Linked DNA regions of Drosophila melanogaster. The protein of the gene in region 2 purifies or fractionates together with the protein of the main gene of each other region. This does not show direct contact. Each region holds a gene or a part of one and is shown on either strand. Other genes may lie near its edges.

Region 1 (4,979 bases), on a different chromosome or scaffold from region 2:
TCAACGAAGACCAACCTTAGTCAATTTGAAGAACTTCCCTACGACAATATGTTGGCCCCAAAAAGTCTACGTTTCATAAACTAGTTCACCTATCGCAAATGGAAGTTTAGCTTTATCAGACGCACAGCCTCACCAGTTAGCTGGCCTACAAAACCACGAAACTCCATCCAGAAGACCCTATAAACACCTATCGCAAAAGTAGTTCCCAGTTAAGCAATTCGAGAAGGCATGGGAAAAGAACAGGTCGGAAACTTTATCTAAATGCTGGCGCTTATCAGGCGGACAAGGCGCGAAGGGTGGGGGTCAGGTGAATGGAAAGGGAATGGAAAGAAGCGAACGAGAAGAGAGGACGCAACACAAGAATTTATGACTCACACGGTGGAAAGAGAAGCTGTGCACTGGGAAAAATTAAATGTAAAGAATAATGGCATTTTAGCTTAGCATAAATTTAAGAAATCTGTTATTAAAATTTGTCCTATTATAAATAATTTTCCATTTAAATATTTAATTGTTTTATTGTTTGAAAAGCACTGAATAACAATCACATGAACATGAATAAAATGTTAATACGTCAACATAAATTGAATTATTTATTGATTGCAATCCTACTGGACCAGAAAAACTTATTAAAATATTATTTACGGATTAGCTTTAATAATTCGAGTGCATTCGTTTTTTGATGGCCAAGGGACGGGGGTTCGAGTTGATCGGGAAGTAAAAGGTTCACATAAAAATGCCGACAGAGAATAAAAATCCTGAACTGCATAATTTAAACGATTTCAATGACACCTTGATTAATATCAAAGACAACACAAAAGGGAACTCGAGAACTGACCACTCTACCTGTTGGCCCCTCATCGCCCCCCTCCCCCACAGACATTTCCATGAAATTATGAACGAAACGCAACGCAACGCGCAATGCATTTGACCAAAAGATAAAAAATAAGGAAAACATATCGGGAGGGAAAAAAAACCAATCAGGCAACGTTGAAAACCAAAAATAAACAAAGGCAGGGCGCAGGTAGAGGACTAAAGGAGGGGCAGGGGTATGGACTGGAACAGGGGTATGGGGTGGGGCAAAAGGGCAGAGGCTGCAACAGTTTACCTGGCAACAAATCAAACAAAGAGAGACAGAGAGAGAGGGAGAGAAACTGAAGGCGACGAAGAGAGGGCAGCGCAACTTATTGCAATTAAGCGTGATTAATTCAGGATTTATACAAATTAAGTAAAACCCACAGGCGATCGAGGTCGAGGCTAGGTCTACCCCTCTCCACCCCTTATACCCCATTAAACTATGTGTAAAAGCGGTGTGACAACATTTTTGCTCTTGCACTAGGTAAAGAGCCTGTAAATGGGTTCCACAGTCCAATATCTTTAAAAGATTCGTAAACTTTGTAAAACATGGCATCTCAAAATAGAAATAATTAAGAAATCCTTAACAGTTTTAAATAACTCTTATAGCATATCCCATAAACATATAAAAGGTAATTCACGCAGTTCACGCCAACGATGCTCTACTGTATGCCCGCGCTCTTCTCATTTTATTTCCTTTTTTTGTTCATCAAAAAGGAATTTCTTGAGATTTTTCGCTGCGGCTGCTCCTGCCTATTGGACTGGTCTTGGAAACTGGAACCCTTTGCCCCCACTGGGTAGGAATGGACCGGGGGCAGAAATGGGGGCTGCGATGAGCAGGCGACGCATGCGCCAAGATCTCTGGGATGGACACGCTCTCCGCGACGGACTCTCTCTTATTTAGAGCCTGTCTTGTGCTGCTGCTTATTCGCATTTCGAGTTGATTTGCCTGGAATTTTATTTCCTTCAGGGGGCGGAGGGAGTGGAGGGAGCTCTGCAGGCGCGTTGAAGGAACAGAATGAATCACGGAATCGTCCAATTTATACACGAGTTCTCTTTGTTCCTTTGCGAATCAAACTTGTTTCTTATCTCCGGCAATTTACTATTGTTATGAAATATACGGATTCTTTTTCGGGTAATACCAATATTAGTTGCTTTGAGTTTTTAATTCCATTGGATAAATAATATGGTCTTTAAGCTTATTAAATAACTTTATTAAAGATTATAGTCCATTTTTCCATACTAACCATACTTTTCCATACTACATATATCAATGTAAGTATACATTTTAAAAGATCTGATTGCCACGATATGGATTTTCTTATCTTTTTTGCATTAAGAATGGCACTACCTCAACCATTTCGCACTTTAAACATCGCTACAAATTAAAATTTGTACTATTTGAATGACACCATATGGGAAGGCAATAAGTTATAATAAGCCTACTAAAGTACCAGAGTTCTTGAAAATATCTTTAAGTTTTTTTTTTAATATCCTTCACTTAAAGCGTATTTCAAAATTAAAAAAAAATTTTTATGATCTGAACATTTCACCCACAAGAAGTAATTATAACTTTGTTTAAAATTTAAATATTTACAATAATAAATATTTCTCGACAGGTATTTATTAAGCCATTGGTATATAATATCGGACATACCGTTACTGGGTTTTTGGGGAATTTCGATGGCATCGATTCCTCTCGCTTGGAAAATGTGTGTCACAGCACTGCAATTCGGACTGAATTGATCGATGATCGAAGACCCTGCTACGCCACCCGCCGGATTGGGGGCGGCAAGGGCGGCCACTTGGGGGGCGGGGCCATTGTCCGCTTGTAAGGTGGGCGGCAAGTGGGTGGTGAGTAGTAATAGTAGAAGAGGACTGCTGAATATCACAAGGCGGGCAGTTGTTGTTGCTGTAGCTTTTCTTCTGCAATGCAGATGTTGTTGTTGTTGCTGCTGATGTAGCATTTTGATAACTCTTTCTTTATTTTAAGGGGAAAGAGAGAGCGAGAGACAGGGCTAATTTCACCGGCGTTTGTTGTCGTTTAGTTTCGATTGGGATTCAAATCGTTTTGACTGTGTTTGTTCTTTTTGCGGTAAATAATTTTGGCAAACGCAGGCACCCACACTGAAATACGCACACTAATACACCGCTTTGTTTGCCGGCATTATTATTATTATGAAACTTATTTTTGTCGTTTGCGTTTATCAGTGCGCATTTTGCGTTCAGAAGCAATTGAAGTGCAACATGGTTGTCGGGTGTTATTAAATCGGGATTATTAACAATTAACAAATAGCGGCACACGCACTGCACATAGACGCACTCGCTCCAACACACACGCACCCGCGACGACGAAAGGCGAATTGAAAGCAAAGCGCGCAACGCAGGAAGAAGCAGCACAGCGCGTGCTCGCGAGTCGGCTATAAAATTTTGACTGAGAAGTCTCTTTGAATTTCGACTGCTTACCGTCGATTCTTTTCAGCCTGCGCTTATCGATTGGTGACCGCGGCTATCGATGTCTATCGCCTTACACCGTTTTTAGGTATGTACAGTGTCACTAGGCTATGAGAATTCCATTCTGGGAAACGTTTGTTAGAAAGTTGTGAAATTTAAAAATAAAATAACGAAAGTTTTACAAGAAATAGATTGGTCCTGTTAATACATACATACATATAAATTATTATACATATACAATTATACATACCATAAATTTTTTTTGTTTGCAAACACACGACTGTATATTTATTAATTGGTTGGTAAGCTAAATGGTTTTTGAATAATTTAATCACAAAAAGTAAAACTTCCATGTCGCGCTTATAGGCGAGATGAATGCCTATTTAATCACATTTAAAATATTTTGTGTACAAAACAAATAGTGTGGACATCTAAATTTATTCGAAATATGTGACATCGATAAAGGAAGGTCCACACTATCGAAAGCCACTATCTAGCCGCATTGTTCATCTCTAAACCAGCTGTTTTGGCGGCAACCAGTTTTGGTCTGAAGCAAAACAATGTTTATTTAAATAAAACGCAATTTAAATAACAGCCCAAGTATGGCGCATGAAAGCGCTGTGCACGAGGCGCTGAAAAAGCATTTTGGCCACTCGAAATTCAAATCGGATCTACAGGAAAAAGCCGTGAAGTGCGCTGTTAAAAGTGAATATTGGCCAAATTCTTACCCAATCTCGCAGATAATACCTCTCGTAATTCTCTTACAGAAAAGCAGGATGTGTATGTGTCGATGCCCACGGGCTCGGGTAAATCCCTGTGCTTCCAATTGCCTGGTTTGATGTCAGAGAATCAAATAACCATTGTTTTTTCTCCGCTTTTGGCTTTGATTAAAGATCAGATAGATCATTTAACCAAACTGAAAGTGCCGGCGGATTCTTTGAACTCCAAGATGAGCACCAAAGAAAGGGATCGTGTTATAATGGACTTAAAGGCCGTGAGAACCAACCTGAAGTTTCTCTACATAACCCCGGAACAGGCCGCCACCAAGTTTTTTCAAGACCTGCTGCAAACCCTCCATAAACACAATAAGCTTGCCTACTTTGCAGTCGACGAGGCGCATTGTGTTAGCCAATGGGGACATGACTTTCGACCGGACTATCTAAAGCTGGGGGAGCTGCGTTCCAAATATTCCGACGTCATCTGGTTGGCTTTGACTGCCACAGCTTCAAGGGAAGTCAAGGAGGATATATATAAGCAGTTGCGCCTCCACCAACCCGTGGCTCAATTTAGCACTCCTAGCTTCAGGAAAAACCTCTTCTATGACATTGTTTACAAGAATTCTATCGAAGATGACTTTCAGCACCTGGCAGATTTCGCCAGACACTGCTTGGGCAATCCGAAGGAGTTTAAGGATACACCCAAGCCACAAAGAGGCTGCGGAATCGTATATTGCCGGACTCGAGACCAAGTGGAGCGCATGGCGATAGGGGTAACTAAACAGGGAATCGGAGCAGTAGCCTATCACGCTGGTCTGAAAACAGGAGAACGTACTGAAGTCCAGGAAGCGTGGATGCGGGGTGATCAGCCCATTATATGTGCAACCAATAGTTTTGGAATGGGTGTGGACAAACCAAGTGTGCGCTTCGTTATCCACTGGGATGTACCCCAAAATG
Region 2 (8,135 bases):
ATAAACAGCGTTGAAACGTTTGGCTAAGAACTAATAATACCGTCATCGTACAGTCCTACCGACAAAGACCCAGTACCCAGAGTACCCAGTACCTCCCGCTAATTGCTTCAGTTTACAAATCGTTTTCACTTGGCTGGAGCATCGAATGTGAAATGTCACAAGATAAAAAAAAAGCATAAAAGCATATTGCAATAGCCTGGAGTCTTTTGAAAATAGCTTTGCCTAATCCTACCAAGTACAATTACACATATATCTAGAGTATATCAATGTAGAACTCGCACAACACGTACATATGCCACCGCCAGCATATTTTAAAACTAAATATGCCGACACACGGCGTGTATATGTATATATAAATGTATCTCGGGCAGGCTTGAGAGCCGCCGTACCCTGTATAAAAATGCAGTTGCCTGATTCTTCTTGGCAACAACAACGCGTTGTCCGGCAATAGTAACTAACTCAATTGGATGTAGACGGATACGTTTGATATTTGCACTCGTGCATCGTCTGGAATGAGTGCTCGAAGTCCCTCGGCAGCGAGGACAATGCGTGGGCGCTTTCGATGCCCGAAATGGTTTTGATCAGGCTGTTGGAGTTTAGGGACTCCAGTTCGTGCGTCTCCGAGTTCGCCAACTCAACGATGGCCGAGCTTGTGGGGGTCAGCAGCTGCTCGCTGGCGATCACTTGGCTGGGTTTCCTGCACAAAGAAATTCGAGTTTTAATAACCGATAACGGGTAGTCACCCGTCAGTCAGGCTTGATAAAAATGACATTAACGCAAAACAGAGAGATATAGAAAATTGAAAGGGTCAATACGATAAAAGCCTTACCGCTCGTAGAACTTGCTGCTGCCACTGCTTCGCTTGCTCCACAACGGCCACTTGAGTTCCAGAAAACCATGCTGAGGACCGGCAACCCGAAGCAGACTCATTAGAAAGAAAGTGGCATAGAACCAGCTAACGATCATGACAACGACCAGGAAGACGCCAATCTGTATGTAGGGCAATATGTTGGATGCCATCATGATTCCGCCAGCTAGACCAGTTGTGGTGGCCGCCATCACTGTGGGTCCAATGATGCGGGATAGTACAAACTGTGTGGCTGCCAATCTCTCCTTAACCGGGGACATCCGGTAGTGAATACCGTAATGTAGGCTAAAGTCCACAGCCAGACCGATAGCCGTGCTCACCGCAATGCTCTCCAAGATGTTAAGCTGCCAGCCGAGCAGGATGAGCACAGCCACGGTGTTAAAAATACTTAGCGACACGGTTAGTACGGCGTAGATGGAAATCAATATGTTTACGGTGAAGCATAGGAGCACTGCAAGTGATGCAGCCATGGCCAGACAAATGGCAACAAAGGTGTCGTGCGAAAGGGTGTCCTGCACATTGTAAAATTTCAGGTCGCTCGTGAACCATCCTCCTTGAAGTTCCGGCGGTGCCGTTTTTAACTGCATCTGAAACCAGTGCTCTACAGACTCGTAGAACTGCCTAATATTTGCGTAGATGGTGCTGTAGGCCACGTTGGACTCGAACTCGATGACCAGGGCTTTGACTAGTAGCGGTGTAAATGATCCGTTGGTGCTGTACTCTGCACTCTCATTTCCACTCATTCCTAGGTAATCCTCAGTCTCCAGTCGGGGAGCCTCTGCAAACTTGGGTCCTGCCACGCCGGGCCGGAAAAATGTAGTGTCATACATGTTGGATATGCTTTGTGGCAAGCAGTACTCAAATATGTGCGGCTCAAAGGGAAACTGTGCGTCACAGCAGGGTGAACGGTCTTTCCTGGTACTGTCCATATCATCGATGCATCTGAACAACATGAACAAAAGCTTCTATTAATGATTGCAAATTGTATTGGTGTCTCTATATCTCCTGTCTTAATCCATCTAAACCAGTTCCAGCTTTCAAATGTAAACAAAATCGATTTTTCTGAACCCAGTTTTAATGAGCTTTCTAAGCCATTGTAAGTATGTATATAATTGTATATGCTCACCTGCGCTTCATATAGTCGATAAGATTTTCAATGAAACAATTGGGCAACAGCATGCCGAGAGTCTCTTTGTAAAAGGGTTGCTGGCGCACACTCTGGCAAAAATCAAGGATCCAGAGTTGTGCCGGCCTGCTGGATACGTTAAAATTATTGTCATAGTGCAGGTGGCCGTATGAGTTGGGGTTCGTATAGTCGCCGTCGTCCACCGCTTGAACGCCCCAGACGAAATGCATGTGCATCTTGAAGTTCTCGTACGCCTGCAATGGTTTCTCGAACCAGAACTGCTGCTTGAGACTGGAGTAAACCTCAAATGGATGCTTTGACACAAAGAGCTGGAAGTGTGATTTTTCCGGCAACTGAAGTCCTGGATACCAGAACACAATGACGGCACTGGACGCGCCTAGAGCCCCAAAGATCAGCAGCCAGAGATAGGCATAGTTCATGATGCTTTTCGTGATGCACTCCTCAAACATCTGACAAAATCGGTTAATTGACTTCTTGCAGGCGTGGATCAGCTTTATTGACATCGGATGATGGCAGGACATCCTTGTGGCAAATAGTCGTTCCATGATGGAGACCGATGCAGGCAACCAAGTTATCATTAGTAAGTAGTTGGTCACCACGACAGTTCCCGCAAAAATCCTAAAAATATAATTTATTAAATGAGCATTACTAAATATTAAGATTCATCTAATCTTGCTTTTATTAACTTACCCAAAGCACTTTATAGCTGTTATAGAGCTGCTGTAGGAGGCATAAAAGGCGCCGGCGGTGGTAAGTGAGGTAACGAACATGGAGGCAGCGGCATGTCGCATAGTCAGCGCCATTATGTTTTCCAGTGACTCCGTGTGATCACTGTTCTCCAGGGTGGGAAGAGCACTCTGGGACTGAGTGGTCAAGGTACATCGATTGCTGAACCTCTCGGTCAGCACACAGTGCCAGATCTTAAGAAACAGAAATACGTCGTCTGCTCCAATGCCAATTATTACTACCACGGCCAGAAGGTTCATATAGGGGAAGAACTCAAACTCCAGCACGATGGCGTAAAAAAAGTACGCTAGTCCTAGCGAAAAGCATATGGCTACGCAGGACATCAAGGTGATGAATGCCGATCCCGTGTACAACCACACGCTAGCCATGACGAATGTCCCTCCCAGCGAAACTAGCCACACGTCCGTCAGCAGCAGCTCGTTAAAGAGTTCGTTTTCGAGGCCCAAGTCCATCGCAACCACTTCCACAAGCTCGTTGATCAGCTCCCTGAAAAATCATTCAGAATATTATTATCAAACAGAAAACATCAAAAATATTTTTAAATAAAAGAAAAATACAAAAAAAATTGCAAAATGGATCCAGTTCAACGGGAAAAGGAATTAATTAAAATGGAATTGCCAAGGACGAGGGTGCTTGTAACCACCAGCAGAGCGGATTATGTGGATCATACTGAAAGAGCCGTTTACAATCCCCCGATTAAGAAAACCCAAGAGGATCCCTCTCTAATAAGTGGTCACTACTGCGCAAATCTAAAGGTTGGTGGCATTGAATATAAAACAAAGACATGGCCCCAATCAATGGACTGGCGGGAGGACTACGCACAGTTCATCAAGCGCAACAAGTGGTGTAACGAAAGGATCTACAAGCTATTTTTTATGTATCCGCCTGTGGATTTCCGAATTCTGAAGGACTTTGTGAAGGACCTTCGTAGATCGGTGTACATGAACGATTACTCTCGGAATGACTTCGTTTCTTTTGTAAGTCGACGGCGCTATAGGAACAAAAAAGGTTACTCTCTCAAGGACGAGGACTATCGGACCACATATGGGTGCTATTACAATTTCCTGCAGGAAACGGAGCCGTTTAGGAGCTCCTTCTATCCAGAACGTAGGCTAAAGGACACTACTCTGGACAAAATCGCCAGCGATTTACGAAAAATTTTCACAAAGTACAACTTGACCACCTATTTTGATACCATATGCGTTCCGGCCTTGATGAAAGCTAAAAATAATGTAATGCCCTCCACACCCATCGACCGGTATCAATTTCGCAAATATTAGCTGTGCTCCATACTTACACGTCTTCCCATTCGTGGAACAGTGGCAGCAAGCGGTTGGATTGCGCCACGGGTATAAAAATCATGGCGTATTTCAGGTATACATTCGAGTCCTACAAAAAAAAAAAGTGCCAATATTATATGGTCGAATTTAATGCAATACGAGTAAAGCAACGGACAAATACAAATCTGTTTTAATAAAAGAGTTTTGGGGTCTAAGCTTATTTTAAACTCAATAACTTACATTAGACTTGATGAAACTAAAGTCGGTGAGAAAATTCAGGACGTTAAAGACGATATTTAGCCGCTTGCACTCTTCAGGAGCACGACAATGCGGTATTTCGTTGCAGTGGTTGTCCATCTTTAGGTCATGGAAGTACTCATAGCAGCCCAAGAGCAGCGTGTGCAGCGAAGTAACATCCTCCGTGGTAAGGTCGAAACAGGAACTTTTGTTGGCCAGCATGGCGGCGTAGTTGGGCAGTGACCATGGCCGGCAGCACTCGGTGGTAAGCATCTCCGGCTCGCAAAATGCCCGGTAGCTGGGGACTTCGGTAATCTGATCCTGCAACTGACACATGGCCAGCAGTCCGTTCAAATCAAATAGAGAATCGGTGGCGTTGGGACCGATCCGCTGGACCACAAAATGAGAGTACTCCTTCCGGGGCGATGAATCGCAAAAGAATCCCTCGATGGGTTGGCGACGATGCATGTCTGCCCAACCGTCGGTGGGCAAGGTGGCGGCTTGCTTTAGGAGCCGCCAAGTGCTCTTCTTGGTCTGCACCCGCTGCTGATGCTCTTCCTCGTCCACTGAGGTGGTGTTGTGGCCATATTCGATTTGCTCAGTGCGTCGCGTGGGTTCCAAAGAGGAGGAAGCGCTGTCGTTTGTAATCTCGTAGTCGCGAAATACTCCACTGTCCCCGATCCAGGTGTCAAAGCCGAGATTTGGAGAGGGAGAACTAGTAGCCTTCAGCCGTTTTTTGAACTGCATCATCTTCTGCGCCACATCGTGATGCTCGTGGCTGCTTTGATTTTGTTCCTTGCGTCGCTTGTTCTTGTTTCTGTTCTTGTGCTTGTTTTTGCGTCGCCTGTGATTCGGATGCAGCTTCGTCTCCACATAGCCCTGCTCTACCCGTCTCCTCTCCCACAGATCCGATGGATTTGAGAAAAGAGCACCATGGTGGTCAGTCTCTTGCAGCAGGTTGTACCAGGCCGTCAGTCGTTCTCCAATTTTGGTGCCGCGGGTTTCGAAGCCCTAAAGTGAAATAAATGTTGAATCATAAATATTAATCATGACAAATAATCACATTATAAAGTGATCAAATAAGTCATATTAGTGAGAAATTAATCTTATTATTTTCCACAATTTTTACAACAATAACATAATAACAATGAAAATATAATACAGGAATAGTTTGTATACAAGTAATCCTGTAGTTTCTTATAGCAATTCTGTGAATATTTAAAATATTTTAACTTCTTAATATTTAAAAAAAATAGATATATAACGAAATTTAAATAAAATAATATCATTTAGACATTTTCGGATTATTTCCATGTGCTCAATATTTTAAAAAATAATTGTAAAATAAGATAAGATATATTCTCCAAATATCAAGCAGTGAACATGTTTTGGACAAATCTAATAGGACAAACCAAGGTGGGATCACTGAAGTCCGGCAGCTTGTTCAGGACGAGGGCCACGATGATGCAAGCGACACAGTAGACAGCAATGGAGACGACCACCAGGTAGGGACGCCTGGCCAGGACGTGGTAGTACCAGTTCATCCTCTCCGAGTCGAAGCACAACATGTCAGTAGAATGTGATGCCCGAATCCTCTTTACCCTCTTCGCATTGCGGGAACATCAAATGCTCCTTGGGTTTCCGCTTCCCTTCAGTGCATCCTTGGCGGCTGGAAGTCTCGAATAACGTTGGGCTGGTGGGTGCTCCTTGGGACCAAGCCAAAGTCTATTGTTTTGCTTCTGTTATAGATACTGCCTGCTGGTCAGGCCTCCGCCGCAGAGATCGGCTTGTTGGATTGCATTTTTATGTAGGCGCGCGCCCGTGCAAATAACTCAGGGTTCGGAACTAACTTAAACAACAGAAAAACAACCGAAAACTATGCGAATAAGGATAACGCAGAAAACGGTGAAATAACAACAAAAAGCAGCACAAAGGATACACTGAGTTAATACAGTGTTGAGCAACTCAGTCACCAGTGATGATGGCCCTAAGCCAGACAAACAGCTGTTCTCCGAAGGAAGAGATTCGTGAAGGTAGTCACAATGAGCTTATGCAATATTCACTTCAACTTTTGTTACTAGCGTATGACTTTAAGCGTGTATTACGGTCATGACACTATTTAAGCTTGAAAATCTTTGGGTACAGCCGAAACTAAATACAATTTTTCGCCCTAGAATTTACCAAATTTGGCTAAATACGCTAGACTATCGGCACTATTAAAACATATGTTGCAGCAGCAGTGCTGCAAAACGCGAACTAGTTCCGCAGCTTGTGCAATGTTTTGTAATCGTATTTGCAAATTTATTCAATTAATTAATTATAAATAAAAAATGCTGCGCCGCGCACAATGCCTGCTCCGGCTGCACGGCAATGGAGGCCATTCGCTGGTCAGCCGCTTTCGAAACTACGCTACGGACGAGGGAAATCCGAAACAGAACCCGAATCCAAATCCCAGGGCACAAAAACCCGGCACCAAAAACCTGCCGGCTTTAAGGAACCCCTTTGCCGCCGCCCAGGACAGGACGAAAAACAGCTACCTGACCATGGTGGAGATATTCCAGGAGCGCGACGTCCACCGTCGGAACCATGTGGAGTTCATCTACGCGGCACTCAAGAATATGGCGGATTTCGGGGTGGAAAGAGACTTGGAGGTCTACAAGGCCCTGATCAACGTGATGCCCAAGGGCAAGTTCATACCCACCAACATGTTCCAGGCAGAGTTCATGCACTACCCCAAACAGCAGCAGTGTATCATTGATCTGCTTGAGCAGATGGAAGATTGCGGGGTGATGCCCGATCACGAGATGGAGGCGATGCTGCTTAATGTGTTTGGCAGGCAGGGACATCCACTGCGCAAGTATTGGCGCATGATGTACTGGATGCCAAAGTTTAAGAACCTATCACCGTGGCCACTGCCCGATCCTGTTCCGGATGATACATTGGAAATGGCCAAGCTGGCGCTAGAGCGGATGTGCACGGTCGACCTGCGGTCCAAAATCACGGTTTTCGAGACCAGCGAGCTGAAGGATGCCATTGACGATACGTGGATCGTGAGCGGAATGAGTCCCGAGCAGGAGAAACTGCTGCGGGAGCACTCTCGCCAGAAAGCTCTGTACATCGAGGGACCCTTTCACATATGGCTTAGGAATCGCCGGATCAACTACTTTACCCTGCGCGCTGATGCAGATTCTGAGTTCCTGTCTGAATTAGATGAGCGGCAGCTGGACGAGGACGATGTCTCCCACATCGAAGTACCCTTCTTTGGTCGTGCTCCACCAAGGCGACACAACCAGCTGGGAAAGCTGCGCTCTGTCCACCAACAGGACGACGGAACCATTATGGCCATCTGTGCCACAGGCACCTCCACAAAGGACTCATTGCTCTCGTGGATTCGCCTGTTGGAAGCGAACGGAAATCCCTCCATAGGAGAGGTGCCCGTCCTCTTCCGGTTCACATCCGAAGTGCCAGCCAAGGCGGAGGAAATTGAAGGTGGCGCCAGTGTCCCGGCAACAAGTGATAACAGTAGTCAAGATGAGCACATTAGCAGTAGACAGAAATAAACAAATTGTTGAGCACTTTTTCGTCTTTGTATACCATAGAATTGATGGTAAATGTTGCTTAAAGTTAGTCGGTTTTGATCATATGTACATATATATGTACATCTGCTAGAAGGAAAAAAATTAATACTTCGGTAATTATTTATACTCTTTGGCTCGGACGCGAATTGAAAGCAACATTGTATGCATTTTGGGGTGGATTTTAATGAAATAAGGTTAATTGAGAAGGATTACTCACAACATCCGATTGTGAGCCGAGCTTAAACGAAAAATCACAGAACCCGAAACTAAGTGTACAG

Evidence for each region.
Region 1: the proteins of disp (region 2) and dlp purify together in Drosophila melanogaster (affinity purification with western blotting, with the first as the bait; one study listed by BioGRID). This does not show direct contact.

What each region holds. Positions count from the first base shown.
Region 1 is NT_037436.4:14,630,913-14,635,891, reverse strand, and holds the start of dlp (dally-like), read right to left. Parts: upstream 3,292-4,979; 5' UTR 2,820-3,291; coding exon 2,510-2,819; intron 1-2,509. Other genes in the region: RecQ5 helicase, read left to right, coding at 3,909-4,011, 4,074-4,979.
Region 2 is NT_033777.3:5,850,062-5,858,196, forward strand, and holds the start of disp (dispatched), read right to left. Parts: upstream 6,251-8,135; 5' UTR 5,848-6,250; coding exon 5,692-5,847; intron 5,291-5,691; coding exon 4,283-5,290; intron 4,222-4,282; exon of another isoform or gene 4,152-4,221; coding exon 4,060-4,151; exon of another isoform or gene 4,043-4,059; coding exon of another isoform or gene 3,335-4,042; exon of another isoform or gene 3,271-3,334; intron 3,249-3,270; coding exon 2,706-3,248; intron 2,634-2,705; coding exon 1,995-2,633; intron 1,811-1,994; coding exon 830-1,810; intron 698-829; coding exon 460-697; 3' UTR 1-459. Other genes in the region: CG34287 (uncharacterized protein), read left to right, coding at 3,335-4,042; ECSIT, read left to right, coding at 6,610-7,839. UniProt on the Drosophila melanogaster protein: Segment polarity protein which functions in hedgehog (Hh) signaling.